2 linked regions of the Cricetulus griseus genome follow. The protein of the gene in region 2 interacts with the protein of the main gene of each other region in a pairwise test. Links are inferred from orthologs where the notes say so. Each region holds a gene or a part of one and is shown on either strand. Other genes may lie near its edges.

Region 1 (15,077 bases), about 250 Mb from region 2:
AAAAAAACAAAAGAATCGGGTGGTGGTGGAGACGGTGCAAGCCTTTAATCCCAGAACCCAGGCGGCAGAGATAGTGGGTCTTTTGTAAATTCGATGTTAGTTTGGTCTACAGAGGGAGAGAGCACCAGAATAGCCAGGGCTACACAGAGAAAGTGCAAAACCCAAACCAAAACAAAATAGAAAAAAAAATTAATAATCTAAGAACAAAGATGGGGTCTTTAAGCCAGACACTTGTAACCAAAGTTGTTTTTATTTTCGTGTTTGGGTGAAGACTGGCAAATACTATTTCACAAGATAAGTTCTTGCCTTCAGCTTGGCATTAATTGTTTTATGTTTTCTGATGAGGACACAAGCAGGTGGGAATTTCATTTCTTCCCTACTACACTTAAATAATAGTAAACACAATAGCAACTAATGTAAAAAACTTGCTAGATGGCAGACACATGGTAAGTATTAAATGTTTACCATACTGATCCAAATAAAATTTCTCAACCATATGGTACTCTTCTAGAATTACAGGGCATTAGGATGTCAGGGTGTAGGAAACTTCTGTTATTTGCCCAGGGCAATGCAGCTATTGAGTGCTGAAGTGACTCAAATGTAGCCTGTGTTCATAAAGTTAAGGCTGCTCTTGAGATAAGAGTATACACATCTAAAAGCTCTTACTCAACAGCTCTTACATTTAGAGATTAAGCCAAGACAGACTAATATGATCTATTCCTATCAGAGGATTCCACATTCTCCAATTGACTACCTTAGAATAGAATAGAAAGATTGCATAGGTAGAGTATGTTCAACTTCTCATGTCAATATTCCCTAAGCAATACAATGTAACAACTGTATTGGAAAGTTGTTGGAAAAGTTGGAAACTTCTGGGAGGCCTTTCAAGTAATCTAGAAGTGATTTGATGGCTATGGGCGGATGTGGTTAGATTATTTGCATACTCTACCTCTTTTTATATAAAGTTTTTGAGTTGCCATGGAATTTGGCATTCATAGAGGGCCCTGGAAGTAATTCTGGATGGATACTGGGGAATGGTTTGATTCAGATCCACCTATTTGGTAACGCCACTAGCATGGTTTGGTTTTAGCAGGAGCTGTTGATGATTTTGCTTGAGTTTACAAACTTTATGTCAGAATATTGAAATTTTGGTTTTGATTATTCAAACATTATCAAGTTGTATAAATGTGCTCCATGTTGTAAAGATAAATAGGAATAGGGAAACAGAAGTACTTTAAAGAAAGTCCCCTTCCACTCCGTTTTCCTTAATTGGAAGGGAAAGGTCCTCCTGGGGTAACTTCAGTAACCTGGTTTAATGTTTCCCAAAGTCAGCTTCACCGGGACAGGAGACTCCCTGTAGTCCTCTCTTCCTGCAAACCTGGAAGAAAAGCAGTTGTGAGAATAGAGCCCTCTCCCTCTTCTGACTCCAGGAATTCAGTGGACAGTAATGGAACACCCAGCAATGTAACCTCTCATGTCATGTGGGCTTCAAAATAGAGGAATACAATTTCTGAAATAGAGGAATATAGTTTCTGCTAATAATAGAGACTGGAGTGACTTTTTTGTTTTTTACCTCAAGCCAGGTATAGTGGTGCACATCTTTAATCCCAGCACTTTGGAGGCAGAGGCAGGTGGATCTCTGTAAGTTTGAGGCCAGTTCGGTCTACCTGTGGACTTTCATAACAGTCAGAGTTATATAGTGAGACCCTGTGTCAAAAAAACAAAATAAATACACGCCTGTATGTGTATGCGCACAGCACACACACACACACACACACACACACACACACACACACACACACACACACACACACACACACACACACAGAGAGAGAGACAGAGACAGAGACAGAGACAGAGAGAAGAAAAACTCATTTCCCTCAAAACGAACTGAAATAGAGTACAGAAATTATTTCCATTCTGTAAACATGTAAATCTTTGATCATCATGATCAAAGAGTCCTGTGTTCCTGGTTCACAAAAGCATATCTGTGGCTGGGGAGATGGAGATGGCTGGGCAGGTAAGGTGCTTATAGAGCAAACATAAGAACCTGACTTCCAGCCCAGAAGCCATGTACAGGCTAGGTGTATTGTAACCCTGTTCTGGGGAGGCAGAGGTGGACCTTTGGATTTCAGGCCAGCCAGCTCAGCCAAATCAACAAGTTCCAACTGTGAGACCCTGTGAGATCTTGACTCAAAAGACCTCTGGCCTCCACATACGTGTTTACACGTGTGCAAATGCACCTCCACACACACACAAACAGTGGATATGATTATATTTCAGATGCGTGGAAACTTTTTTGGAATAGGTTTCTATGACCTTATTATAATTATTTTGCGCTTGAGTTGGTCAATATAATAGTGATGTGAACATGAAATAGCATAGAACATTTGCAAAAACATATTTAGCAGCTACCTTCTGAATCTTTACGAAGAAGTGGAGAACAAGCTTAAAGGTCATAATTAAAATCCTTCCGGGAAAACTGTCATGATCTTTGCTGAGATTAAAAATCACATTCCTGAAATGTACCCTGCAGCATTCAACACATTCAGCCAGCAAACCAGCAAAATGAGTGTTGTGAGTTAGATTTTCACTCTGATACACCTGACAAAGCTCAATTGTGATGCCTGTCTTCTGTATAGATGCAAAATGGGAAGGTACCATGTGTGCTACTAAAATGCATGCTTATTCATTAGTATTTCTCTTTAACTTTGAGGTACATTGAGCTAAAACTCTGAGGTCTGCATGGTTTCATTCCATACTCAAAACCATCATGTACCTACCATCATCTTAAACAAGGAAAGTGGAGATCAAAAAGGCTGGGGATTTTGCCCAAGTGCCAGAAAGCAGGTCACACAGCCCAGGTGGTTCCAGCTCCCGTTTCGAGAATTCTGACATTTCACTGCTTCCCATAGATGAAGAATGCTTCCCACCGCTGTCCTAGCCATACTAAATGGACTTGTATCTCAAAACTTGACCTTCCATATACAGGCATACTTTTTTTTTTCTTTTGAGACAGGATCACTATGTAACTCTGATTCACCTCAGATTCGCCATGGTGCCTCAGACTGTACCACCACAGCTTTCTTAATAAATGACATTTCCAGCTCTCACATTTAGTTTTATTTAGAAGGAGAGAATCATGAGGGAAAATTGGAAATACAGCCTTTTCTGGCATAATAGAATCTCTTAATTTGCAAATGGAATTCTCATTCTATTTTTAGCTCAGCCATTGCAACAAAAGCTATGAATGACCAAATTAAAACCACTCAGGCTAACTCAGGCCAACTGCTGAATTCTGTGCAGCTCAAAGAGCTAAGAATCTTTTCAAAAAAGTAACCGTTTTAAGTAGCTGGAAATATCAAAATATAAATCATAAGTCGTAATGTAGAAATCACACAAAAGTGAGCCACCGTGGACGGTTTGTGAATTGTGGACTTGGAGTGACGTGTCAATGTATGTACATGTATCGTAACAAAGACACCGCTCTGATGGAATGTTAACAGTACAGGAGGCTGTGTGCGGAGCTTGCGGGAATATGAGCTGCCTCTCTGTTATGCTTTATAGTGCTGTGAACCTAAAGCAGCTCTAAAAGTTATAGGCTATTAAAACATATATCAAGCTCAGAGACCATAAGTAAGGGTTTATTGGTGCACAGCTGTGCCCATTCATGGTAAGAACTGAGCAGATGAGATGTGAAAAGCCTTCAGTATTCACTCCATGGGGAGAAGTTTTCTGACTGTCCATTCCACGGCATCTGCTACTGACTAAGCTACTGGATTAGAATGATGTCCTCAGAGTTAAAATTCTTCTCCTCTCTTCCAGTTACCATTTAACAAGTGCTTGTTAGCACTCACTCATCTTTTGAACGGGATAATAAGTCCTATAGGACTACTTACAGGGCCAGTTTAAGGGTTAAATGAACTATAAAGCACCAAACAGGTCAGTAATAATCCATTTTGATTTTGAAAGTCTGCCTTTCTCTTATGCCTTCCCTTTTAGAATCTGGGAGTGGCCGGGCGTTGGTGGCGCACGCCTTTAATCCCAGCACTCGGGAGGCAGAGGCAGGCGGATCTCTGTGAGTTCGAGACCAGCCTGGTCTACAAGAGCTAGTTCCAGGACAGCCTCCAAAGCCACAGAGAAACCCTGGCTCGAAAAACAAAAAAACAAAACAACAACAACAACAAAAAAAGAATCTGGGAGTGTTTTCCTCAATCACCTGCTTTCTTTATGTGCAAGGTGAATGAAAAGAGAAAAGAAAAAGAAGGACATGACAGCTCCTTAGGGAGTTGAGGTTTTTATTATAGATGTCAGGAAGAATACAGTGGAGGAGAAACATCTGGGAGAGCTCAGAGTGGATGTAACTGGAAGACTGAGTTGGGCCATGTGGGGAAAGGAGAGTCCTGGGCTGGTAGAGGGCAGGGGATGCCAGCCAGGACCCTGCAACAGGAAGGGACTGAGGCATTCAGGAACCTGGTGGTCAGCATCCTCTTTAGTCCTAATAGGTCCTCAGTCCTTGGTCCTGAGTTTGAGACCTAAGGTACCTTTGTTTGCTCAGAAGCCGGCTCCTTACCCCGCCTTACTTAGCACAGCTTGGTTTGCCCCTTGTTTCTGTTTTACCCTCAAGCTTGTCCTTGATCCAAGTTAGTTCCAGGGAAGTAGTTGCCTGTGACTGCATCTGCCAAAGTGAAAGCATCAGCAAGGCAAGGCGGGGTCTGCCTTAACCGTTACTAGGTTTCTGTGGCACCTACGTACTTCCAAGCATTGATCCAGGCCTCCCCCCAACCCCTGCTCCCCACCATTCCTAATTCCTTTATGGGAGCTATGGATGAGGCATTCCCTGACTCCCTTATAGGAGCTATGGACGAGGAATTCCCTGACTCCCTTATAGGAGCTATGGACGAGGAATTCCCTGACTCCCTTATAGGAGCTATGGACGAGGCATTCCCTGACTCCCTTATAGGAGCTATGGACGAGGCATTCACTGACTCCCTTATAGGAGCTATGGACGAGGCATTCCCTGACTCCCTTATAGGAGCTATGGACGAGGCATTCCCTGATTCCCTTATGGGAGCTATGGACGAGGCATTCCCTGATTCCTTTATGGGAGCTATGGACGAGGCATTCCCTGATTCCTTTATGGGAGCTATGGACGAGGCATTCCCTGACTCCTTTATAGGAGCTATGGACGAGGCATTCCCTGACTCCCTTATAGGAGCTATGGACGAGGAATTCCCTGACTCCTTTATGGGAGCTATGGACGAGGAATTCCCTGATTCCTTTATGGGAGCTATGGAGTTTGGCATTTAGGCTTAACTCTCACAGAATCACTGGATTCTTGACTAAAACTGTGGTTGAATTTGTTCTGAAGATTTCAAAGATTCTTATTCTGTAGAAAAAATACTATTATTAGCCAAGACATTCTGGAGAGGTGAGAATTCCAAAGGCCCAGAACTGTCCATCTTCTAAGCCCTATGACAAAGGTCTGCTATTTTAATGAGAAATCAGACCCAGCAATGAAGCTGCCATTATGCGCTGTATGTTTTTCCAGACATAAACTCTCTGCTGTTGCAGCCCAGTCTTTGGATTTTTAAAATTCTTTGATTCTATTAACTGTTCACTTTGGCCAAATTATTTCACTTTTCTGAGGCACTTTTGTAAAAGAGTAATAGTGTTGAAGACATGACACGGACGTTTGGGAAATGAGACACGCAATGCTTTTCTGTCCTTCCTGTCACTCCATAAAATGCATTTGCCAGCCATTTCCACGTCATCTCAGCCTGGGAAGTTAAAGGAATCCTTATTTCCCCTGCTGGAATTCAGGCTCTCAGCTTAAAGTGTCAGAGTCAAGGCCCGCTGCCTCCTAGTCTCTTGTAGACGGGAGCTGGAGCTGCGTTGTTGAGCTCTGTCCTTGGAAACTATAACACTTCCGGGGAAAGTCAGGCTGGAGGTCTCAGAAGCGACTCTTGGCCTTTAGGGTCTCATTCTTATTCACTGCCAGCTTTTCAGAACATGGGTAGAAATCTCACAAATAGATGGTCAGGGACTGAAGCTGCCTGCCATTCGCTTTCTGAGTGATGCAGGGTCTCACCACACCCTAAGTCTTTCGTCCCATTTGCCAAACCGTGAGAGAGTTTGGCCTTTTTAGCCGAACACGTTATACGGAAGGTCTGGCCAATTATCAGCTTAAAACAAAGATGTGTGATGGAAAGGAAAAGTTAACATTAGTACATTTTAAAAAGTTAAGATCGGTAAATTTTTATTCGATGCCTTTGAAATCTACGTGGGGGTTTAAATGTCCAGTCTTCTTCGTGTGGGTGAGCACCATCCCCCATGCTTTCCCCCTTGTGTCTTAAAACAGGAAGCACTTTGGGGGGAGTGGTTTGGGATTTATTGTTTCCCTCGCCCCTTTATGGACTTCCACGTCTGGGGCGGTGACTGGGAGGGGGCTAGATTATCCTAGCTCCCACCCCAGGGGTCCCAGTTCACTTCCTCTCTGCCCCACCAGAGTGCTGTTGACTGTTGAGAAATTCAATTTGGGTCTGGAGGGAGCCCAGCTGTACGTGGAGCCAGCAGCAGCAGAGAGAGCCACAAGGCGGCGACTGTGAGCTTTTGGGTACTGCGTAGACTCTATGGAGACTGATGTCTGGGGATGCGACCAGAAGCTTGGGGAGAGGTAAACCTTCGAGACTTTTGTAACCTTAGACTGGGGGAGAGGCCTGATGGGGCTGCCCTCTCTGGACAGGAGTAACTAAGCCTGTAACCGACTTGGACGGCTCATCCCCTGCACAAACTATGTGCAAGTGTCCCCTCTGGAACTTGAGAGGCTCAGTTCACAGAGTCCTCTGCAATGCCCATGAGGTGAGCAAGGCCCCTCCCCACAGGGCTAACCAGATCTCCATCTTTTCACCCCTGCCCCGCCCTGCAGGCAGCAGTCCCCCAGGGCCAGTCCCTGAGGGTGTCATCCGAATCTACAGCATGAGGTTCTGCCCCTACTCGCAAAGGGCACGCCTGGTCCTCAAGGCCAAAGGCATCAGGTGAGAAACCAAGGCCAAGTGCTCCCTGAGCACGTTGCTCACCCCTCATCTGCAGGGACTTATTTAAAGTCTTGGGCTCCTAGAAGGGCTCCTCTTCCCTTTCTTCTGAGGCGAGTGACTCCAAGGACTGATTTTGTGTAGGCTTTACTGAAATGCTGAGTTCTTTTCCAAATCAGATTTTCATGAACTTTTAGACGAGGCAGCCAAAACTGAATGATGCTGTTGGCGAAACGGTCCCCACCCACCCACTGTTTGTTTAGGAGGGGCACAGTTAGTAAGGGCTCACTGAGGCCTCCTAACTGCACCAACACGGCCTTACTTTTGCCCTGAGCAGCTTGGATTAACTGCTCTATTTCTTTATGGTGCTTAACCACGTCTATCATTTCCTCATCTGTTCCATCTTTCTACCTCCTCTCCCCCTCTCTCCCACCCCATGGCAACCATACACAAAAGGAGTTTAAGAGAGGAAGGAGGGCTGCCATGTTGGGTGCTAGAAGAGAGCCTGGCACTCAGTAAGTATTCAAAAGTGTCTGTTGGGGATGTAGCTGAGTTCGTTGGAGTGCTTGCTCAGCGTGTATGAGGCACCGGTTTTACACGCAGTGACAGCAAGAAACCAAGTGTGGAGGAACGTCCCTATGATCTCAGAACATAGGAGGTCGAGGCAGGAGGATCAGAAGTTCAAGAACGCTCTTGCTTACATACCAAGTTCCAGGTCAGCCTTGGCCACATAAGACCCCGTCTTATACACAAAACTCAAGTGTCACTGCAGCCTCTGGCTCAGGGCTTGGGAAGCACATCATAGGATTTGGCATTAGACTTTTAGTTCATGTCATGAATAGAGAGACCAATATGGAGATGTTTTAAATAAAAGCTGTTAACACTGCATTGATTCGTATGTATATAACATACATTTGCAGTTGTTCCTGCTGGCTCAAATCTATCTATATGGTTACCTGTCCTTTTTGTTTGGTTTTAGAAAAATAAGAGCAATACAATATGTTGCTCATTTGGGGACAAACTTATAGTTTAGGAACTGAGGCAAATGTTTCTGGGGTTTTGTTGCTTGTTTGGAGACAGGGTGTGATGTAGCTCAGGCAGACCACAAACTCACTGTGTGTCTGAGGATGACCTTGAACTTTTGGTCCTCTGACTGGCCCTCCACAGTGTTGGATTTACAGCAGTGTGTCACCATGCCTGGCTGTGTGATGCTGGGGACGGAATCCAGGACTTCCTGTAGCTGGGCAAGTACTTTACCACCTAAGCCACAGGCCTGGGCCCATAACTGATTTTTCAGAGTGGAGTTCCTCAACCTTAGCACCACTGGCTGAATTTGCTGGGGAGAGGAAAGAGGACTGTCTTGTGCATTCCAGGTTATTTTGTTATCCCCACCTTTATGTATTAGGATGGTACCCCACTCCCAGGGTGAAGATCAAAGGGTCCCTAGATATTGATATACACTCTTTGCATGGGGGAGAGGTAAAATAATCTTGTTGGGAACTCCCACTTTGAAGAATGTAACTATTTGTTTCCTTTAATCTTTATAAACTGCTTGTGCCTCTGGCAACTTCCTGGTTTTGAACCTCCAATAATAATGAATAGGGGAGGACTGAAAAGTGATTGCATGCTAATTAATATACTATATCTCCCCCAAACACTACACATGCTCGCTGTTTTAACATCACAGTGATGCCAAGAGATGGGTACAGGTATTACCTCCTTACAGTTGTGGACACTGAGTACGGAGAGAAGGAACTGACTAAGATCCCAGCTTGACCATACAAGTTTGATGGCGGGTTTGCGATCTTAACTGTTAACATTCACCAATGTCTGTTATAACCTGTCAATACACATTTGCATCTTGGTGGTTGTTAATGCTTGCTTTTGAGACAGGGTCTCACTGTGTAGCTCAGATTGTTCTCTAACTAACATCCCCCTGTCTGGGTCCTGTTGAGTCTGTGCCTTCAGGCTTTCATCTTTCAGCCATGTGGCCAACGCATATGGAATCAGTCAGCCTGGCTCTCATCTTGCCTCAGCTGCTTCTGAGGAGATGATGTCTGGCCTGAGATTCAATCACAGGAAAAGAAAAGCCATGGAAGACACCTAACACCTCTGCAGAATGAACACACGTGTTACATATTTGACAAAAAATTCCTACATCCAACAGCTCTAAGCATGAAGGTTACAGCTGTTTGTTTTCCAGGCTGAGTGTCTTCCTGTATGTGTCTCATTTCTAGTTTGTCTGTCTTTTCCTTTCCCTTTTTAAGGCATGAAGTTGTCAACATTAACCTGAAGAACAAGCCTGAGTGGTACTTTACAAAACACCCTTTTGGCCAGATTCCTGTCCTGGAAAACAGCCAGGGTCAACTGGTCTATGAATCTGTCATCGCTTGTGAGTACCTGGATGACCTCTACCCGGGAAGGAAGCTGTTTCCATTTGACCCTTATGAACGAGCTCGCCAGAAGATGTTACTGGAACTATTCTGTAAGGTAATTTTACTTTGTGTTTCCCCAGCTTCCATCCATTCTAAAGTCAATCATGGCATAGTTTGAACCGTGAGCCTCTGAAGAATAACTCAGATGGGGTAAGAGTCAGGTGTGACCAGCGACTTTCAGAGTGGGAGGCAGAAATTCATGTGGCCAGAAATGGGAGTATTGAAACAGCTGAAACTAATAAGCCTCTTACAGGAGCATTTCTCAAGCATGTGTGTGGGCATGTGCACACTTGAACACACACACAAACATACAGGAACACACAAAATAAATACATGAATAAATGTTTAAAAAATAAGATTCAGAGTGAGTGAGGAAGACATGCAATGTTGACATCTGGCCTACACACACACACACACACACACACGAGTTATGTACTCAACTTAATGATATTAATAGTGTTAATTATGCTATTAATCAATGACATATATTGAACACTCAGGATGTTCCAAATCATCTCTATTGATTCCCTCCCTTGACTGCCCCGGGAGGGGGTATTGTTGCTGGAACCATTTTTCAGACAGGAACACTGAGACTTGAAGAGGCTAAATGACTGCCTTCCTCAGAGTGTACAGCATGGGACTAGATGATCAAGCAGTGGGCACGGAGAACCCTGCTAAAGCCCTCTTGGCTTGATCAGATGCTGTGAGAAGTGGTTCCTGGAAGCACAGAGATGACCCAGGGCCTCTTGCCAAGGATGTGGACATCTGCATGTGGCCAAGTCCTCCTGTGCTGGAGCTGGGAAGCTTCTGTGCATTTCAGTCAGCGTGGGGACAGTTTTCACAAACACCTCCACTAAGAACCTGTGTCCTCTGACTAGATCCCACACTTAACCAAGGAAAGTCTGGTAGCGATGAGATGCGGGAGAGAGTGTACGGATCTGAAGACTGCCCTGCGTCAGGAGTTCCGTAATCTGGAAGAGGTACAAAGGAGCATCCTTCCCATCAGAGGCGAGGGACCACGCCATGTGTAGTGTCTCTAACTGAGACACCCTGACGTCACCGGCTTGCAGACTTTATGCCCAGCTTTGATGTGATCCCTTTCTAGTTGTCTGACTGTGACCTGCACATGCTTGCATCCCTGACCTTTCCTGAAAGGACCTGAATTTGTCCTTTCCTGGCATTGTGTTGTTCCCTGAGATTCTCTGCATGGTTTCTGCCGATGAGGCTGAGGTATCGGCTGGTGGCCGTGTAGGAATTGTCTAATGATGGTTTAGTCTCTCACATTACAAATCGGGGGAAGCAGGGGAGTCCAAGGCTGTTTCCATGCCTCCTCACGAGGTTGTCAGGGACTGAAGCTCATCTTTCTGTCCTGTCACATTTAGTGCAAGGTTTTCATCCTTAAAAACAAGATGGCTGCTGGGTCTTCTGGCATCACCTTCTTCTTAGGCTCTAGCTAAGCGAAGGAGAGAGAAAAGCAGCAAATGCCGGACCCTCCTAAAGGACTCACCCAGAAATGCCGGACCTTCTTAAAGGACTCACCCAGATTTAGTTGTCAGGTTGTGACAGTCAGCAGAGGAGGCTGGGAGATCTATCTTTTAGTTGAGAGGAGGCTGGGGAATTTATCTTTTAGTTGAGATACCCCGAATAAAATCAGTTTGGTGTATTTTAGAAATGGAAGGTGCGTGTGGATGGACGAGCAGTCTTTGCTGGTAGAGTTGCTGTACCAGGACAATCACGGAGCCCTGCCACCCACCCCACCCTGCGTGTGCTCTGTGGGTCTTTGACTTTCTTTACCTTTGGTCTAGAAACCAATGAATTCTTTTTCTGTGTGAGGTTGCTTCCCTGCTGACAGCCAGAAAACTACTATCTTTATCTCTTTAGAAGAACTCTAGCTACTAACATTCTTCCATTTGACTTTATCAACTAAAAGCAGATTAAATTCATACACACTGTTTCCTGTTTTGGAGTTGTACAATTGGAAGATGAATAATAAGAAATACTAACTTTTGTCCTGAGGTCTCAGACTCCAACGACCCCGAGGAGGTGATGGATGTCATGATTTTAAGTGGGGCTTTGCTGGGTTCCAGGGTTTTGAGCAATAGGAAACCTGGGGGATGGTTCCAGAACTGTTTTCACCCACACCAGCACTGCGTTTAGTCACAGTGTTGAAGAGGGCATCTAACAAGAGCCTTTGTCCAGGAAGAGCACAACTTTAAAAGAAGTCATTGAAACCTCTCTGAATAGAGAATTTTTAATGTCTCTGTGTTTGGTGGTGGTTGCTATTGTTTCTTGTTTTTGAGACAGGGTCTCACTATGTTGCCCTTGAACTCATGGAGATCTGCTTGTCTTTGCCTTCCAAGTGCTGGGATTGAAAGTGTGTGTGAGCTAAGACACATGGGGGTGGGCCTAGGCCTTATCCCAAAGGATACGATAGACTCTGATGACACCCTATGGAAGGCCTCACCCTCCAGGGGGAGCAGAAAGGATATGTGATAGATAGGGTTTTAGTTGGGGGGGGCTGGTAGGGGAGGACGGGAGGGAGAGGGAACTGGGATTGTCATGTAAAACAATCTTGTTTCTAATTCAAATTTAAAAAAATTCTGGGAAAAAAAAAGAAATTCCTGTCATCACCCCCAGCTTAATCTCTTTCTCTTTCACATTCTCTCTCTCTCTCTCTCTCTCTCTCTCTCTCTCTCTCTCACACACACACACACACACACACACACACACACACACACACACACGGTCATCCGAACTAATCCCATCCTCTCTGGTTCCTTTCTCATGATACCTGAACACTGGGTCAGATTAAGGAGCTGAAAACAAACCCCTGAATTCGGGGGTCACTGACAGTACATTTTGGTTTTTCTTGCTGCTCCTCTGCATGAACCCAGGGAGTCGGGATGCAGGCATGACTCTTCTCTTCAGTTGGGGCTCTCTCTCAGGACAATTATGCCAGAAGTTTGTGCCACACACTATGGTGTAGTGCTTTGTGTACACTTACTCCTGCTCACAGCATCCTGCTTAGGCCAAGATCACTCCAGCAAATCAGGATGGCTGTGAACTAACTAAGAATGCAAACATAAAGATATCCAGAGGTTTCGTGACAGAAATGGAGGTCAACCGTCAAACTCATTTTGAAGCAAGTGTTGCAATTAAAACAACACAAAACAAAACAAAAACAAAACAAAACGGGCATGCCAGAGAAACACACCATGCAACAGAACTTGGGTCGAGGGTGTTTTTGTTTTTAACTGGAGGAAAGTGAATGGGAAAGGGAGGAAGGGAGAAGGAGACTGGCCTCTGGGGACAGGAGCAACAGAAGAGAAGAGAGAGAGGGGCAGAAAGGCGGGGGGGGGAAATGACAGACAGATAGACAGACAGACAGGGAGAAAGAGTGATGGGAGGTGGGCAGGGCCCTTTTAAAAGGGAACATAGTGAATGTGCACAGGTGGTGTTCTTAGTGGCTGCAGCTGAGGGCAGATCCTGTCAGAACCCCAAGGACAGGCCAGTACAGAAGCCTGAATACTAACAGCAAGTATGTGGAGTACTAGTCTGGAGACACACGGAAGAGAGAGCTGTTGTGTGTAGGAGAGCAAAGAATCAGGGCACAAGGCAGACCACAGACAGAAGCCTCCCTCCCACCCAAGGAATTTCCCCTTGATCCCGAAGTCAATGTGGAGTAACTAGCTAGCAGTGTTAACAGAAAAGACAGGAAGGTATAGCCAGCAGGGTGGTGATGAGTATGTCACAATACTCCCTGAAAAAGTAAGTAAAAACAAAAAAGAACCAAAACCCCGATTTTATTTGTAACATTTGCCCATTTCAGTGGTGGAACACCTCCCAGCAGGCCGCTTTTCAGGTGCTGCCTCTGAACCCCCTTGGGAAGAGGTGTGGCCAGTCGGCCAGCTCCAGTGCCTCACTGAGCAACACTTTTCTCTTTGCCTTTAGCCAGGGCCTCAGAGCCTTGGCTCTGGTAGTGCCACCCACGCATGTAAGGACTGCTGAATGTTCAGCTTTGTTTTGGTGTCTTTGGGTGGGAGTTTTGTTCCATTGTGTTAGGAAGAGCTCTAGACATCGGAACCTCAAACCATCGGGGTGGATGTGAGCTCTAAGAGCAGTTCCTCCAAATAGTAATATGCGGACTCCAGGGCCTAGGGCACACAGTCTGGGGGATCTAGTGAAATTAAAATAATTACCAAATAATCTGACAGAAATGCCCCTTAATTCACACGAACATTTTTCTCCTGTTTCTTTCTCTTTTTTTCCTTTCTTTCTTTCTTTCTTTTTTTTGATAGGGTCTTGTAGTATAGCCCCAGTTGTCATGGAACTTACCATATTCTTCATGTTGGTTTTACAAGCAGGATTTTGTGTGTGCTAAAAAGCTATTAACACACATGATCTTTCTGAGGGACAAATAAGCTGATATTCTCTCTCTCTCTCTCTCTCTCTCTCTCTCTCTCTCTCTCTCTGTGTGTGTGTGTGTGTGTGTGTGTGTGTGTGTGTGTGTGTGTCTTTTTTAATGTGTAGGGCTTGGATGGGGCTATGGATCACCATACACTTCAAGTGGGTTTTTTAAATTACATTTTTTCATTTTACATACCCACCCCAGTTCCCCCTCCCTCCCTTTCTGCTGCCCACCAACCCCCATCCCACCTCCCATCCACTCCTCCGGGCAAGGTCTCCCTTGGGGAGTCAACACAGTCTGGCATACCAAGTTGAGGAGTGACCAAGCCCCGGCCCCTCTGTATCAAGGCTGAGTAAGGCGTCTCACCATAGGGAATGGGCTCCAAAAAGCCCACGCACCCAGGGTATGTCCTGGTCTCACTGCCAGCTGGCACCCCCACAATAGATCAAGCCATATAACTGTCACCCACTTTCAGAGGGTCTACTTTTGGTCCCATGCAGGGTCCCCAGCTGTCAGTCTGTGAGCTCCCAATAGCTTGGGTCAGCTCCCTCTGTGGTTTTCCCACTCATGACCTTGACCTCCCCTTGCTCATATGGCCCCTCCTCCCTCTCTTCAGCTGAACTCCAGGAGCTCAGCCCGGTGCTTGGCTGTGGGTCACTGCATCTGCTTCCATCAGTTACTGGATGCAGTAGGTTCTATGATGACAATTAGTGTGTCACTAATCTGATTATACGGGAAGGCCAGGTCACGCACCCTCTCCACTATTGCTAGTTTTAGCTGGGGTCATCCTTGAGGATTTCTGAGAATTTCCCTAGTACCAGGTTTCTCCCTGACCCCATAATGGTTCCCTCTATCAAGACATCTCTGTCCCTCCCCCGACTTGGGCATCTCCATCCCTCATATTCCCACCCCCCACCCTCTCTCTTCTACCTCCCTCCAGTTGGCCCTTATCTATCTCCCCTTCCTGGGGCTCTCCATGCCTGTCCCTCTTAGGGTCCTCTTTTTTTTTACCTAGCTTCTCTGGGGTTGTGGATTGTAGGTTGGTTATCCTTTGCTTTATATCTAACATTTACTTACCATGTTTGTCTTCCTGGGTTTGGGTTCCCTCACTTAGGAATTTTTTCTAGTTCCATCCATCTGCCTGCAAATTTCACGATGTCATTGTTTTTTACTGCTGAGTAGTACTCTACTGTGTAAATG
Region 2 (15,077 bases):
CGGAAAGAAATGGCTGTTAAAGCCGGTGGATACTCTGGGTGGCTGCAGCAGCCAGTAAATGAACATTTCCATTTAGCCAGCAAGTGGTGCATTCTGTTGTCACACACTGTACTAACCTCCTTTCATCGATAGACCCTGATGTTTCATTTTGAAAGACGCTCGGGTTTTGGAAATCATCCCAAGCCCATTTTTTGAACAGGACTCAAGAAAGGGCCTACAGCTGAACACTAGGAATGAGTCCTTTTGTTGAGCAAATACTAATTGAACCCGGTCTGCCTAAGGCCCTTCAAAAGAGTCCGGGGCGGGGGGGAGGTAGAATATACAATCAGTTAAAACCATAAGCCGTCATTGTTGGACCAACCATTGTTAGAAAACAAATTCAAGACCAGGCAAACGAGGGGTCCATTTCTTAACACCAATTTAATTCTGATGCGTCCGCAACCACTTAAGTACAATGCATTTATATCTTAAAATCCCACATAGAGACATGTAATAATAATATGTACACAGTCTCATCACAGCATGTTTTTTTTTTTTTTAATGGGGATATTCTAGTCGTATGGGGAGATGAGGGGCTCTAGGTTTTGGATAGATCACTTGTGACATTAATAGCTCTGGGGAGGCTAATAGAGACAATAGGAGTTAAACGAACTCTTGAGAGATTACTAATAAAAGAGCCAATTATCATGTCGACTTGGAAAGAGCACCTCTTAAGATTTATCCCTTGCACATCTAATTTGACATGACAAAGACTTCACAGATGCAAAAATGAAACTTTAAACTAGCTTACACTATACTGATTGGGGTTAGAAATGAGAACAGTTTTATATAGCATGGTCCTCTGGTGGAATCTAGAACCCTGAGATTTTTGCCATCATAACAACAACAACAACAAAATACTGCTATTGCATTTAATACATGAAACTTTATTCCTACCCACTAAGCACAATGCAGATGATAAATTCATTCAAATCCTGTAATACCTTTTTAACAATTTCTTTTCTAAATACTTAGGTCAATAGTGGCATCTTCAAGATGCTAATTTTAACCAAAAGCTAAATTTTTGTTAACCTAATTCACCAAGTTTTAAAGCCTTGAGACTCAATCAAGAAACTAGAAACTAAATCAGAGAACATGAAGTTTTCTTCCCTAATAGAGGGCTTTAAAAAAAAAATCTGTCTTTTCATTGATATTAAATTATTTGTATTATTTTAGCTTGATACACTTTTTAACCCTCATGGCCTTTAACTCCACACAATGAATTAGCTATGAAACCACTTCCAAATCAGGTCAATATTGCACATTTCATTTTGTCCAAATATGAATAACTGAACTCAGTGCTGAAATCATGATCTGAACAAAGCTAGCCTGTTGCCATTACCAAGATCCTGAAAGCCGGTTGTTTAAGCACTGTTCTTCTATGCCTATCTATTTGCTAATTCTGAGCCTTTAGGAAATCCTATTTGAAAAAAATAAATACAGTCCTGCAAGTTCTTTTAAATAGCACTCTGCCTGTAAGGACATGCTTGGAATGCAGAAGGAAATGGCTTACCTTTCTTAATTACAGTTTGATCTGGGATGTTAATACCCGGGTCTTCTACATGCTGCAACAAAAGGATACACATGAATGTAAGTGTATAATCAAAACAAAAGGAAATGAATATTCCCTGCAAGGTGGGGGAGGGGAAGGTGGAGGATGGCAGTCCCCCCTCCCTCATAATGACATTTATATATAAACATCTCATCTTAGCTTACTGAATTTGGAGCTTTAAAACTCAAGAGGTTTCACTGTACACCCACAACCCATTTTTCCTCCCCCCTCCCAGGAGATAATCCACATTGAACAGGATGGGATGGGGAATAAAACTTTCTTTGAAAATTAAATGAAGTTTGGGAGTTCCTAATCTTTTCCCCAGTCAATTCAACCTTTAGAAATGCATGTGGCTTTGGTGTGGCACTTCTCAGCAGCTTGGGAACCTCAGGGATCCCAGAGTCCAGGCAGCCAAAGCCAAAGAAACACAATAGAAATGACATGACAGGATGGGGGTAACAGCGGTGTGGGAAACCCTGAAGGTAATGTAACAAAGCACACTCATGTGTATGTGTACACACACACACACACACACACACACACACACACACACACACCTTCACTCAAGGAAAACCAGAAATAATTTGTAAGAAATCTGCTGCCTACAGTAAATCTGGCAGGAATATGGAAACATCAGGGACAAAAACCCTTTGAGGCTTCTTTACTGTTTTCCCGTTGTCCAGCAGCAGTGTGAGGTGCCCCCCCTCTCTCTTTGCAGATGGTTGTGTATCCATGAGTGTGTTAGAATCAAAACGTGATTAGAAAGTAAAATGAAATCATGTTTTCTAATGCAGAAACTGACAGGCAATATAATGTCTGGCTGTGTTTACAAATTAGCACCAGGGCTGCTGAGAGGGAAGATTTCGCAATCGTTACCAAGCACAGGCATTGCCATTTAAAAAACTATTACTTCCTTCTCTAGTCTTTGTCCAACAATAATACTGATTCGAACATTTTCCATTCTGTCTTGGATTTATGCTCCTGTTAATTGTGCCTGATCGCAATGATTCCGGGTGGATGGTACTAAGTTGCTTTATTACAGGTTTTATTATACTCAATGCTCTCATTTGTAACTTGCCTAAAGTGCTTCTGGATTTAAGTATAATTAAATTGAGAAATGTTCAGAAATGACTACTGCTGCAGTTCTTGTGTTTTAACTATATGGGGAAATATGATCCCTTTATGCATGCACCCTAAACCCATAAAGTAAATGTAGTGTGGCATAATACTTTTATTTCTGTTATTTCTAGCTAGACCTTGTCCATACAGGGAAGACTGTTAAGTTTAAAACCCCACTGAGATATTAATGATTAAACAATTTTCACCATTGACTTGATTTTCTTAAATATTTAGCAGTCGTTCTTATTAAAAGTTAAATGTGGCAGCAATGAAGAAATTGAAAACAACCCTATTCCTGACCCAAATTCCTTTGAAGGATTTTTTTTTTCTTGAAAGGTGGGGGAGGGGGAGAGGAAGAGCAACTGGGTTTCTTGCTTTTATATGATCATTTGGTTAGTTTCTCCTACCGATCAATTGCATCACAGAGTGACCACACAGGTATCAAGAATTCCCAGCAGCCTCATGCCATTTTTTGCAGAAGACCTATTTCCAATACACAGCAGTTCCAAAAGCTTAAGATATTATTTTGCTATTAGTGTTTCCAAAGAACAGGCAAAGAAAAGAATTCAGGGACTCTCTGAGAAAGAAAACTAAAATCACCATAATTTCTAGTTCTGTTCAAAATTGCTTTTATAAAATATTGCCTCAAATTCACTAGCCACAGTTTTCTAAAACCATACAAATATGAACACATGCGCGCGTTCATGCGCGCGTGCGCGCGTGCATGCACACACACACACACACACACACACACACACACACACACACACAATGCTTACTGAGCCTTGCATTGGACCAAGTGCCTGCCTTCCTGTGTTTCATGCAAGGCTGTTAAGCATAACCAACAAATTTCGGTGATTAACTGGGCTAAATGAGAGAGGTAATAAATTTTCTATTTTCCTGTAGAACTTCAAGAATGTTTTAAATCTGCCAGGCAATCAGGTAAGTTCATGTGGTCGTTTTCCTTACAATCTAATTCAGCAATCATTAAACTGTCAACAGACATACCACTGCTATATTTGATGCAGTAATTTGAAATAGCATTTAAGCAAAAATCACATCCAGATACATTTCCTTTCCAAAGAAAAGTACCTTTAGCAGAAGCCTTTACAGCGATAAAAAAATATATATATTGGCTTGCTCTAATTCCATTTCAGGAAGATTGTGAGAAAACCATAAATTTATAGAGCTGAAATTGAGGTGCTGGTTGCAATTTAATTTTAAAAAGTATTTTCAAATTATCAATGGCCTGAGTTACATTGTAAATAGTACATGTGCTGAGGTCGTCCTTATTTAGAAATCATTTGAAACTGCATTTATTGATAACTGAATTAGAACTCAACGCAGCACCCAATAGTATCCAAACATTTAATTGAATATTCAGTGTAGCAGCTTCTGATAGGCGTTGGGAACCTAGCTAATGATTTATGAGGTCACCACTTAGCACCCCCAGGAAGAGAAGAAAGCTGCATTTTAATGTCCCTGTGCTTGGATTTGCTACTTGTTTTCCTTTGATCAGGATAGGGGAGGCATAACTTCTGGGTTTCACTAATGCTTATAAAACCCGGTTCAAGGACCTTTTCCCTAAGTCTCTCGCACTTTCTTTTACTTTGTGAGATAGTTTAAGGAGCTCTCTGGGCTAAATTTAACCACTTTCCTAGAACAGCGAGAAATCCCCACGACACATTCAGCAGCGGAATTAAGTCCCGTGTCCCCCCCACCCCTCCCCCCAATCTACACAATTTATTGTCACGGAGAGAAGCTGCAGAGAATGGTGACCATCGCCTGGTTTATTTCTGTTGGCTGGAAGTGGTGACCCAGGCATTGTTGAGCGAGCTCCATGAAGCATTGTTCTCAATTAGTTTTTCATTTTTAAATTCAGTTATTGAAGTGAGTGTCACTTCCACTCCCAACTATTATTGAGGAAAATCAAGGCCCTGCGGGCCTGGGCTCCAGGAAGCTTCCGGGAGGGCAGGTGAGCCTAGGGCTGCGTTCCCTCCCCGCGGCCCGCACCGCCTCTTACCGGGACGTCCTCGATGGCGTGAGGTAAGGAGTGGATCGGGAGGTCCCCGAGCCCCGAGCCGAGCCCGTGTGGGCCGTGCAGGAGATCCTCGTGCCGCCGGTAGTCCCTGCGAGGGTCCAGGCCCGACAGCTGGTGGGGTAACCCCCTGTGCGTGTGCAAGAGCCCAGACTCCTGGCTCTGCCTCTGGCCGGGCCAGCCCGGGTGCTGCGGCTGCGGCTGGGCGTGCAGGGGGTTCAGGCTGTAGGGGTCGTTGACGTGGGAGTAAGGATCTTGCGACTGAGGGTAGATAGGCTGGTAGGGCGGGGGAAAGTAGGGAGGCTGGAAGTCGGCATTGGGGGTATGGGACAGCGGTGGGGCGCTGGTGTAGGGGGATTGACCTACAGTGCCCAGCTGGGGCAACCTTGCCGTCCCGTTGCTGGTGCCGTCGTGACGGTCCTGGAAGAAAGCAAGACGAAAGGGAAATAGTGAGAAATGAGGCGCAGAGTTTTAGCTACCCCCATTAAATCCATTCGGCAAGCCAATGTGGGGAAATCACCCGTTCCCCTCTGCTGGACGCCGGGGTAGGGGTATCAGCTCTACATTGTTAGCATTAGAAAATACCCCAGAAGTGAAGCAGGCCTTTTCAAAAAAAAAAAAAAAAAAAAAAAAAAAAAAAAAAAAAAAAGCAAAGAAATCAGAATATGTAAATCTAGGGGCACAACAGACTCTCCCAGATATTCCTCTCAAAGGGGGGCAGGAGATGTAAAAGGGCGTCCTGTAGTACAGCCCCAACACCCGCAGTACCAAACCTCCCTTAAGCAAAATTCAAACATCCACTAAATATTAAACAGAAGCAGCCTTTGCTGTTCCCGGATTTGAACCTGTCTGCCACCGCGTTATTGTTTACTCTTCCATTAATCTGGAAGGGAAAAATCATAAACCTTCAAAGACTATTTCCATTCCATGACTATTTAAATAGAAACATGTTTCGCACAGGGGCCGTAAGAAAGCACACATTTAAATTACCAGCTTAAAGATTTGAACTGCATGGTTGAGGTGGGGGTGTCTGTCTTTTCCGCTTCCTCTGTTAGGAGGCTTTTACACGGCAGGGTCGTTTTATGATATGAAAGGGGAGTAAGGAACGGGGTTTAAAATAGAAAGATTCTGCCTTACCCGGTTCTTTTAAAAGAAAGAGGGGCACCCCGGGGCGGAGGCCCCCGCCCCTTCCACCTCCAGCCCCAAAGGGCAAAAGAAACCCCTCACTTTACATTTCTCTATTGCAATCCGCTTGCAAAGCAAGCCAAGAGTGGGTTCCAGAGAATCGGAACCCTCCAAGGTTCAGCCTCAAGGCCCCGGGCTAGGGGACACACCGGGGTGCGCCTTTCACCCCCCACAGACGGATTAAGCATCGGATGTGGAGAGCGGCTCTGGAACAAGTGAAGAAGACGCAAGGAAATAAAGACGAACCGGGCGAGAAACTGGCCCAGGGAAAGAGCTGCGGGGTAGGTCTGCGTGCGCGGAGAGGTCCAGCAGGGACAGGGTAGTGGCGACGCGTTGGATTTGAGGATGGAAAAGAGCCAGAGAAAAGAGGAAAGGGAGATAGGAATGCAAGTGGGAGGAGATGTCCACAAGGAACCCGGGCCGAGAAGCCCTGGATCTGGATCTCAGGCAGTTTCTCGGCTGCGGGTTTCGGGATCAGAATTCCTAAGGAAACAGGGATGGGTGGGGGTGGGGTGGGACTCACCATAGCTGAAAAACTGTGAACTAACATCTGCGAAGAGTCTGGGGTAACCAGTCAGGGTGGAAAAAAGCAAAAACAAACCCCCAAAACAAAAACCACCACGCCTCGAGCACCCGGCTGCCCGGCGGCCCGAGAGAGCCCCACACAAAAGGCTCCGAGAGCCCCGCGCCACCCAGGACTCCAGTCACCGCGCGGACGCTCCGGCGAGCGTCGGAGCCCGGCTCGGATCCATCCGAACTTGTACCACCGAGTCGCGCGGCGCCTTCAGCTGGTCGAACCCACGATCTCTATCCTGCCGCAATCGGTTAGGATTCAAAGTTCTTTTAAGAAAAACGAAAACAACAACAACAACAAGAAAAAAAAGCCAACCAAAAAAAAATACAAAAAGAAAAAAGAGGAAAAAAGTATGTGTGTGAAGTGTGTGTGTGAGTGTGTGTGTGAATGTCCCTTAATCCGTGTCTCCCCTCTTTTCTTAGCGGCGGCTTCACTTCAGCTTCTAATAACCGCGCTGGGCAGCGTTCCTGGAGCCTCCTAATAGCAGATATTCATGACTATTAATATTACACGAATACTTAATAAGGGAAGAATGCCTGGAAATCGAGCGTGAAGCGGAGAGGCAACTCGCGCCGGAGCCGGCTCTCAATGCAGTCATTGACGGGAGTCTCAGTGTAGCAAATCGGAGGTGGGGAGAGGGAGCGCGAGAGACAAAAAGCGGGCGACGGAGGGAGCGGGCGAGCGTGCGGGGGGCCGCGGCGCGGCGTCTGGCGAATCACAGCGAAGGGGCAACATTTTAAAAGGTTGCAGGGCCTGCAAAAGTGAAAGAGAAAGAAGGCGAGAGGGAGGCCGAGGGGCGAGAGCGCGACGAGGGAGGATGTGTCTGCGTGCGTGTGCGAGAAAGAAAGTGTGGGCGACCAGAGGAGAGAGGAGTGGAGAGAGGGGGGAGGAAGGAGGGAGCGCCGGGGAGGAGGAAGGGAGGGCAGGAGGGAGGGAGGGAGGAGGAGGAGGAGGGGGCCGAGCCGGAGCTGCGCAGGGGGAGCCCGCGGGGGAGGGGGAGGGGAGAGGAAGCGAGGGAGGACAATCGGACCTAAAAGGCTGGGGCAGACCTCGGAATGGAGCGGGGGTCGCTCGCCGCGGGCTGGAGCTCCCGGGACCCGCGCGCTGCTGCCCACCGGGTTCTGCGCCTGGGAGGTGCTTCCCGCCGCTCTCCGGCCGCGGGATTCTCTGCTGCGCAGCGGGGCCTGGCACTCGGGACTCGGCTGCCCGCTGCCGCGCTGTTCCTCCATGACCAGGCGTCCCGCCTGGGACCAGCCCGCCCGCTTCGCCAACCCTTGTCCTCCGCCTGCTCACGAGCTGCCTTCCCTAGGACCTCCGGGCCGTGCGCTCCTCGGCTGCGGCAGTTCTAATCTCGGCTGGTCCCTGGACCCGGTTCCGGGAGCTGGAGCCCGGACGCGGCCCCGGGCGCGCACAGACGCGAAGCGGCCCAGCCTAGGCGCCTCTGGCAAGGGCTCCCGGCTCCCGGCACAAACCCGTCGGACTGGCTGGGCCACTCCCGCCGACACCCTCTAGATGACAGGGCTAGCTCTCCCCGCGCGTCGCCACTGCCAGTCTGCCCGCCCGGTTGTCGGAACAAGCGGCACCTCGCCTCTTGCGTGTCCCTGCAGAGCCTCGGCCAAATCAGACAACTCCAAGCCCGCTCGGAAGCTCGAAGTCCTGCCCTAGCGCTAGCTAGCCCGCCGCCACCAAAGTTGTTGAAATTGCCCAGACTTTTTTTTTTTCCTCTCCCACTCCGTTCTCATCATTCTCCCCCCCCCGCCCCCCCCGCTCTCGCGCACCTCCAGAGTCTCTCTGGGGGTTCAAGTTCATCTCGCTCCCCCTCGAGACCCCTTCGGTGTGTGGAGCCACGCGAAGGTTATCAACCCTCCCACTCAGGGCGCCGGCACCCAGAACCGAGTTTTAGGTTCCGAGAAAGTGAAAAATCACCAGGCTTGAGAGGGAACTCAGACCCCTCAGAAATGAACTGCTCTAAGAGAGGCTTAGTGGTGCCTAGGCCTATCCGCAAAAGGCACCCTTAGCCTTGAAAACAAAGTGTCTGGTCCTACGAGGGCTTCCCGCGCCCCTCGAGGCACGCCACAGGAGCCCCAGAGAAGCGCAGGTACTGAGGGATGTCACCTGGTGTCCCATCTACCAGGTTGGGGGTGGGGAGGGGTAAAGGGGGAGCCAGAATGAAGAAAGATGTAAAATAGTATTCAAAGAGAAAAGGGGAGGGAGTGGGTGACATTTCGTTCACACAAACCCAGTTCCTGATTTCAAGTGAAGACAGAATTCTTGTCTCTGCACCCGCACACAGATGCCTCAGCCAGAATCCCCAGCTCCAAATGCCAAAAGGGAAAGAAAAAAAAAAAAAAGCAAAAGAAGAACAGTAAATGTCAAGGCTGCCATGTATTTATTTGGATAATCACTACCCCTCCATCGCCCCATGCACTCATCAGCTCCTTTCAGCAGGGTTTGTAAAAGCAAGGTTGAGGCCGTCTCCTGCAAGCAGTTGGTTCTTTTCCTATGCCTCCCTGGCTGTCCCAAAAGTCATTCTCTGGGGTCCTGGGTTTTAAAATGTATTCCCAAGGGGAGCGCTCTGTGGTCCCAGCGGGCACTCGAAAACCAGAGGTGATCGGCAGTCACACCAGTATTCTCAGGGTCCCGTGGCTAAGCTCCGGCCGGCACAGGGCGATTCCCCGCCCCCCCCCTTCAGAGAGTACGGTAGTGCATCTGCACCCAGCCACCACCATGGGTGTGTCCACCCTGTAGCTCGGCGGGAGAAACTGCTTAGAACTTCAAGGAATATAGGACCTGAGGAGTGAGCCCATAGGCTGACGTGAGGGCTCCCGAGCCGAACCCGCTTTCAGGGAGGTGCTGCCCAGGTCTGGGCGAACTGTGTGGGCCCTTCTCCAAATGCAAGAAGGGAACCTCTTTAGAGAGAAAGGAATGAATGAAAGAAAAAGGAATATTAATCTCAGAGAAGAGGTGAAAGGGGAAACATTTTCTTTTATTTTTTCTTCCTGCTATCGTAGATACCCCCAGATTCTTGCTCAAGAGATACCAGAGTGCACTGGCACGTGCCCAGTTGCCAACAATTGTTTTAAAGGAAAAAAAAAAAAAGCTTATCTCTTCGTTCCACTCTCAGGCAAAGCCACAAGTAAGAAGGAAAAAAAGGGGGGGAGGAGTGGGACATGGGCTTCAAAGGACAAAAGTGAAACAAGCAAGACCCATGTACACCCTCTCCAGCTTCTCCCCGGCGCTCTTCGGGCGAATTCGAGGGGCGGGCGCAGCGCTGGTGAAAGTTTGTTCACCAGCATTTCGCAGCTAGCTGCGTGGAGAGGAGGAGGAGAGGGAGGGTCGATCTCCAAGCCTGTGGTCGCAAGGATGACTGAGCCGGCGCCGCGCTTACCTCACAGTCTTCGTACTTGATATTATCCGTCAGTTTCCAAAGCATTTTCATGGATCGGCGTGATCGGATTTGCCCCTCTGCGCCTCGCACCCCAGCGGAGCTACTCTCTAGGTTAGCGCAAAGTGCGGGCTGCGGGCGGTGAGCACAAGAGGAGGAGGAGGAGAGGAGGGCGAGGAGGAGGAGAAGGGTAGGAAGGAGGAGGAGGGAGAGGAGGAGGAGGGCCAGGAGGAGAAGGGCGAGGAGGGAGGAGGAGAGAAGGGTTAGAGAGCTCCCGTGTGCGCTCGGAGATCTCCCTCTAATGGTAGAAACTTTTCCCTTTTCCTGCTCTTCACCAACAGCCTAATCGCCTCATTAGCATATCAACAATAGTCCAATTGCTAGCCAGTACCACAATCTGCCGCCGGCCGCTCCGACCCAGGTATAAAGGCCTCTTCAAGCCGCGAACTTGCTCCCAGAGCACACGCCTGCACGCTTGCAAGCTAGCCCAACAGCTAGCCCAGAGCTCCAGCACCGTCCCTAGCTCCAGCGGTCCCTTCCCCGGCCCAATTTCATCCCTTTCCCCTGCGCCTGTCTACGGATCCTGCCAGCCAAAGATGCCTTGGATAAAGCTTGGTACTACACAGGGTACTGGCGGCGGTGCCAGGGGACCAACTTTTAGTACACCTCACCCCTGCTACTACATCCGCCTCTATCCGATCTGCCTTTCGTCCCCATCCGATTTTATTAGAAATCATTATCCCTTTCGCAATGAATCGTAACCATCAAACCAGGACCAGCAAAGTCACTCCAGGATTTTTGTCCAACTGGAGATCGCCTCCGCTCACGGCTGTTACCCCCTCGGGCTGCAGCGCCCTGGGAGTTTTATTAGCTTTGCGCTTTCTCCCCAGGTTGGAGATTCTGCCAACCGGCTCTGGTGGCTCGGTTGGGGTTTGCGATCTCTTAATTGCTACGTGTAAAATAAAAGTTGTACCCTGAAGAGGTTACTCGACAGCTCCGGGGGTTAAATGATTTTCCTCCAGTTTGTGTGAAGCTGGAGCGGACTGACAATTCGTCGGGGTGTTTGGACTGTAAGGTTTTCCAGGTGCAACGTGGACAAGAACACGGAATTTTGGATGGATATATATATATATAGCTGCTTCTGGAGTTAGCCGAAAAGCAGACCTATGAGTACTTGAGACTCACTCCATGCCGTGTCATGCGTGCATCAAAATAAATCATTGGGAACTGACTCTTCCTGTGCTAATCGGCTCCGGTTTTCCCAAGATTCTCCTTTTTAATTAAAGAAGGACGCGATCCTTCATGGTTTGATGTTAGTAACGCTGGCGCGTTGGCGGCACAATGGCCAGCTGGTGAAGAACCCGAAGGAGACACCCCCTTACCCAAGCTGACCACTCCAGGCTCCCCAGCTCCCCTCAGGGGCTTACTCACTCCACCAGGGGACCCTTCTTCCCTTTCAGCAATTAAAGTAAGAAAAAAAATCCAAAGACTTTAATGTGATAGTTTGATATACAGGGACTTCTCTGGCTGACTTTCCCGCACTAACACTCTAAAAATATTTTCCTCTTTCTCCTGTTAATTGTGGGGAACTTCTCAGCAGCAGCAGATAGCCCTCAGAGACCTCTGGTTCATTTGTTTTTGTGTTTCTCTTTTCTTTGTTTTTCCCCTCGCCAAAAAAAAAAAAAAAAAAAAAAAAAAAAAAATCTGTGCCCCACCACCACCATTTCCAGAGTGAATCCATCATGGGACTGAAGACTTCATCAAATCCAAGCGTTCAGTAACAGGTGGGAGAAAGAGAGAGAGAGAGAGAGAGAGAGAGAGAGAGAGAGAGAGAGAGAGAGAGAGAGAGAGAGAGAGAACCACTCTCCACTCAAAGCCGAGGAAGGGCAATTCTTCCTTCTCAAGACCCTACCTAGCTAAGATACAGCCTCCTTCCGCCAAACCCAGAGACAAGGCCAGAGGTGACAAGGGAATTCAAAGACCCAAGGCCCTGAGGACTCTCTAGAGATGGCTTCTCACATTTAAGGAGTCATTTGGCTGATGGCTCTAGAAGCTTGGCACCCCACTCTGTCCAGAAAACGCTCAACAATCCAAGCAAGACCCCGCCAGGTTTTCCCCAAGATCTGCTGAGCAGCAAAATGGCTTGAAACCTGGAGCTCAACCTCTGGGAGGGGCCAGTACCTCCACTTTCCCAGAGGCAGCCGCAACCGGGTGCCCTATGACCTGTAGGCCCGCTCCTTAGGCCTTAGAGCATGGGTTTTTGCATCCTGAGAACCCGGACTTGCCAGGGTGCTTGAAGGAACTCTTAAGTTTCGCTTTCTTTTCCTTCAGTTGTGACCTGGGAAAAGGTGCTTAAGGATTTATATCCTCTCCTACCGGACCCTCACCCCCTCCTCTTTCCTCGCTGCTCAGTGCCCCGCAGATCTCTGACTCAAAACCCAGTTAAGGGCTACTAAACTGTTGTTATATTCCCGCCAGGGGCACCATTGACGTGCAGATTGGGGCCTGGCAGCTCTGTGCCGCCGCCGCCCGCAGTGCAGTGTGGGCTCTGATGAAAAGGCTGGGGAGAGCAGTCGGGTAGCCCCTGAGCCAGGCGAAGCTAACGAAGCTAACGCTTGCATGAGTTTCATTACCACGATTCATCTCACTGCAGTCAGTGCTACATCTGGGCAGGGGCCCTGGCTCCCTGGGCCAGCAGCGCTGAGCCTGGAGTTAGGGCAGGGGCTGTAGGCCTGACCTGAGAGAATGAACTACACTGAGAGTGACATCAAGAAAAACAAAGAAAACACAAGGGCCAGGATGGGTCTTCTGTCTGATCTTCAACACCCATTGGGTCAGGGATGCTCAAGTGACCAAGCCTGGTGGACTTGGTCCTGTGAGACTCAAAGCCACTGGCGCTCACCCCCCAGGTTCTGGCTCCTGCCACTTGCCAAACTACAAGGCTCTCAGCAGCAGGCCCTCGGATCCACCATTCCTTAGCTATGGGAGCTATGGGTGGCTTTCAAACCATATTCTGCCTCACTGGAGGTCTGGCTCCAGCCCCAGGCGACCCTGGGTGGTGAGCATCTTCTCATGCCCTGCAGAGCTCTTCAGAATTTAGTGGTAACTGCCCCAAGCTTCAGCACCCAGAAAGAGAGCTAAGCCAACATGGTGTGGGGAGAGAAGGGAGAGGGCTCTAGCATTTGTGATTGGGGTGGGCCTTCCATCCTTAAACAAAGCCAGTCTAAGTTTGAGGAAGGAATATTATTTAGTAGTTTTAACTAGAGAGGGGGTATAAAAATATCCATTCAACAAATAGAAGTAATAAATATAAGAGGAAAACAAATACAAAACGTGTTCCTTTTTCCAACTCTTGGACATGTAATGAAGACAACACCTCTCAGAACGTTTAAGGCTGAACTCTCAGGCAAAAAGAGAAAAAGGAAGCCAAACTCCAGGGCCTTGCCCTGGGAGGAGCAAAGCTTTCAGCTCTGGTTTTTCTTTGGGAAGGTCGAAGCCTTTAGTTCAAATTGCCCCTTAGGCTTGTGGCTTACAGAATCTCGGTCTAACCAGGCCTCCGTTGGCTGGGGCAAAAACAGGGCCCCGCGGTTCCTATTATGAAATGCCCGACCGGGGAGAGGCAGCGTGTTCCCTCAACCTGGCTTGAGCCGCCCTTGTTTCCCTGTAAGGAGAGTGTGTGGAAGCATGTTCCCTGGGCGGGGGCCGGGGTCTCTGGGTCAGGAAAGGCCAGACCCAGTGCCTGTCCGCTCTGGGGTTTCTGCGGCCTAGCAGGGTCACCTTTGGCAAACTCTAGTACCGAAAATTGTTATCTTACTCATCACCCCGCAATTCTGTAGTCCAAGAACAGAAAACCCACTCTAGGAAGCCGATTGAGCGAATAGCTAAACTTTGGACAAACTTTTTTTTTTTAAAAAAAGTGTCTCTCAAGAAAACTTGCTCCAGGCTATATCCAGTCATCCGGACCCCTTTTCACCCACCCCAAAGGTACCCCAAATGAAGGGATAGCCAACCGGACAGGTGCACCAGAACCTCACCGGGACGCGCAGCTCTGGGGTCTAAGGGCTAGGCAGGCACAGCCTTGGGGAACCCACACCTCCGGCCCCGCGTCCCTCCCCACTTCTTAATTAGTCATCCACCTAAGTTTCTGTTGGGGTAGGAGTGGGGAAATGGCTGGAGATCAAACCACAAGTGACCCTAGGGGCCACCTGGCCACCTGTGGAACGTGCGCTGGACTTTTTCCGGACTCTACCCCGGAGGGCGGCACGCTTGGCCCCCAGCACCGAGGCTGTGTAGCCTGCTCTAGTTTATCCAGTCTTCTCTCTCCTGGGAACACTCTTGGGCGCTGCCAGGCGTGCCTCATCTAGGACTCCCCTGCCCTGGGCCACGGCTCTTCTCCGCCTCCCCACTCCCGGCCCCCTCCTCCGCTCCACCCCCGCCCACCTCAGCCCCAGCCAAGGCAAACCCCCGTACCTGCCAGTCCCCCATTTTGGCAAGTATGGACATTGCGTCTCGGCGCTCCTGGCGACGGGTCCCCTCCGGGCATGGGCTGGAGGGCTCTGTCGGGCCCGCTCCCTGGAATCGCTTAGGCAAATCCTCCTTTTTTTACCTGCTCGCCAACATCTCACCTGGTCATAAAGAGCTGGGTTGCTACCTGCCGACGCATGCGCGCTGGCCTAGGAATTCACTCCGCCAGCCCCAGTCCCAGCACCTCTCTGTGCTGACCTGGGAAGTGATGGATTTATAGCCACGGCAATCTCACCATCAGCTCCAGCTTTTCCTAACAGCCCTAACCCGCTTTCCCGGTCAGTCCCTGGCCAGTGAACCGAAGCCAGGGACTGGCTGCTGAAGGTTGCTGAGTCCCACGCGGGTGTGAGCGTGTGTTTGAGCAGTCGTGTAGTGGCTGCATCTGCAAGATCATTCCACCTTTCCCTTGCCCCCCGGAACTTTTGGGCTAGAGGAGGGGGGATGGGTTGGGGGATGGGCCAGACCTGGGGAAGGCCCAGATCCAGAGTCCCGGCACACCTGGAGGTTAGCAATGGGACAGGGTCCCCGCCCCCTCCTCCTCACCCGCCCAGGAGCTTCAAGGCACAGCCTGCCTTAGCGGATCTGACTGCCACCCCCAGGGCGGCCTCGGCGGTGGATTCCAGATCAAATGTTGCTCAATAGGTGAAGAAGATATTCGCAA

What was found.
Region 1: the proteins of Tfap2a (region 2) and glutathione S-transferase omega-2 interact in binary tests that used the Homo sapiens proteins (3 or more experiments, as listed by UniProt). The two-hybrid records come from large-scale screens. The link is inferred for Cricetulus griseus from reciprocal best matches to the Homo sapiens genes TFAP2A and GSTO2.

The regions. Positions count from the first base shown.
Region 1 is NC_048596.1:13,627,621-13,642,697, reverse strand, and holds the start of glutathione S-transferase omega-2, read left to right. Parts: upstream 1-6,568; 5' UTR 6,569-6,642; coding exon 6,643-6,676; intron 6,677-6,928; coding exon 6,929-7,037; intron 7,038-9,301; coding exon 9,302-9,524; intron 9,525-10,347; coding exon 10,348-10,449; intron 10,450-15,077. UniProt on the Homo sapiens protein: Exhibits glutathione-dependent thiol transferase activity. Has high dehydroascorbate reductase activity and may contribute to the recycling of ascorbic acid. Participates in the biotransformation of inorganic arsenic and reduces monomethylarsonic acid (MMA).
Region 2 is NC_048596.1:260,406,007-260,421,083, forward strand, and holds the start of Tfap2a (transcription factor AP-2-alpha), read right to left. Parts: upstream 10,029-15,077; 5' UTR 9,947-10,028; coding exon 9,896-9,946; exon of another isoform or gene 7,532-9,895; intron 7,382-7,531; exon of another isoform or gene 6,484-7,381; coding exon of another isoform or gene 6,457-6,483; intron 5,169-6,456; coding exon 4,734-5,168; intron 1,605-4,733; coding exon 1,553-1,604; intron 1-1,552.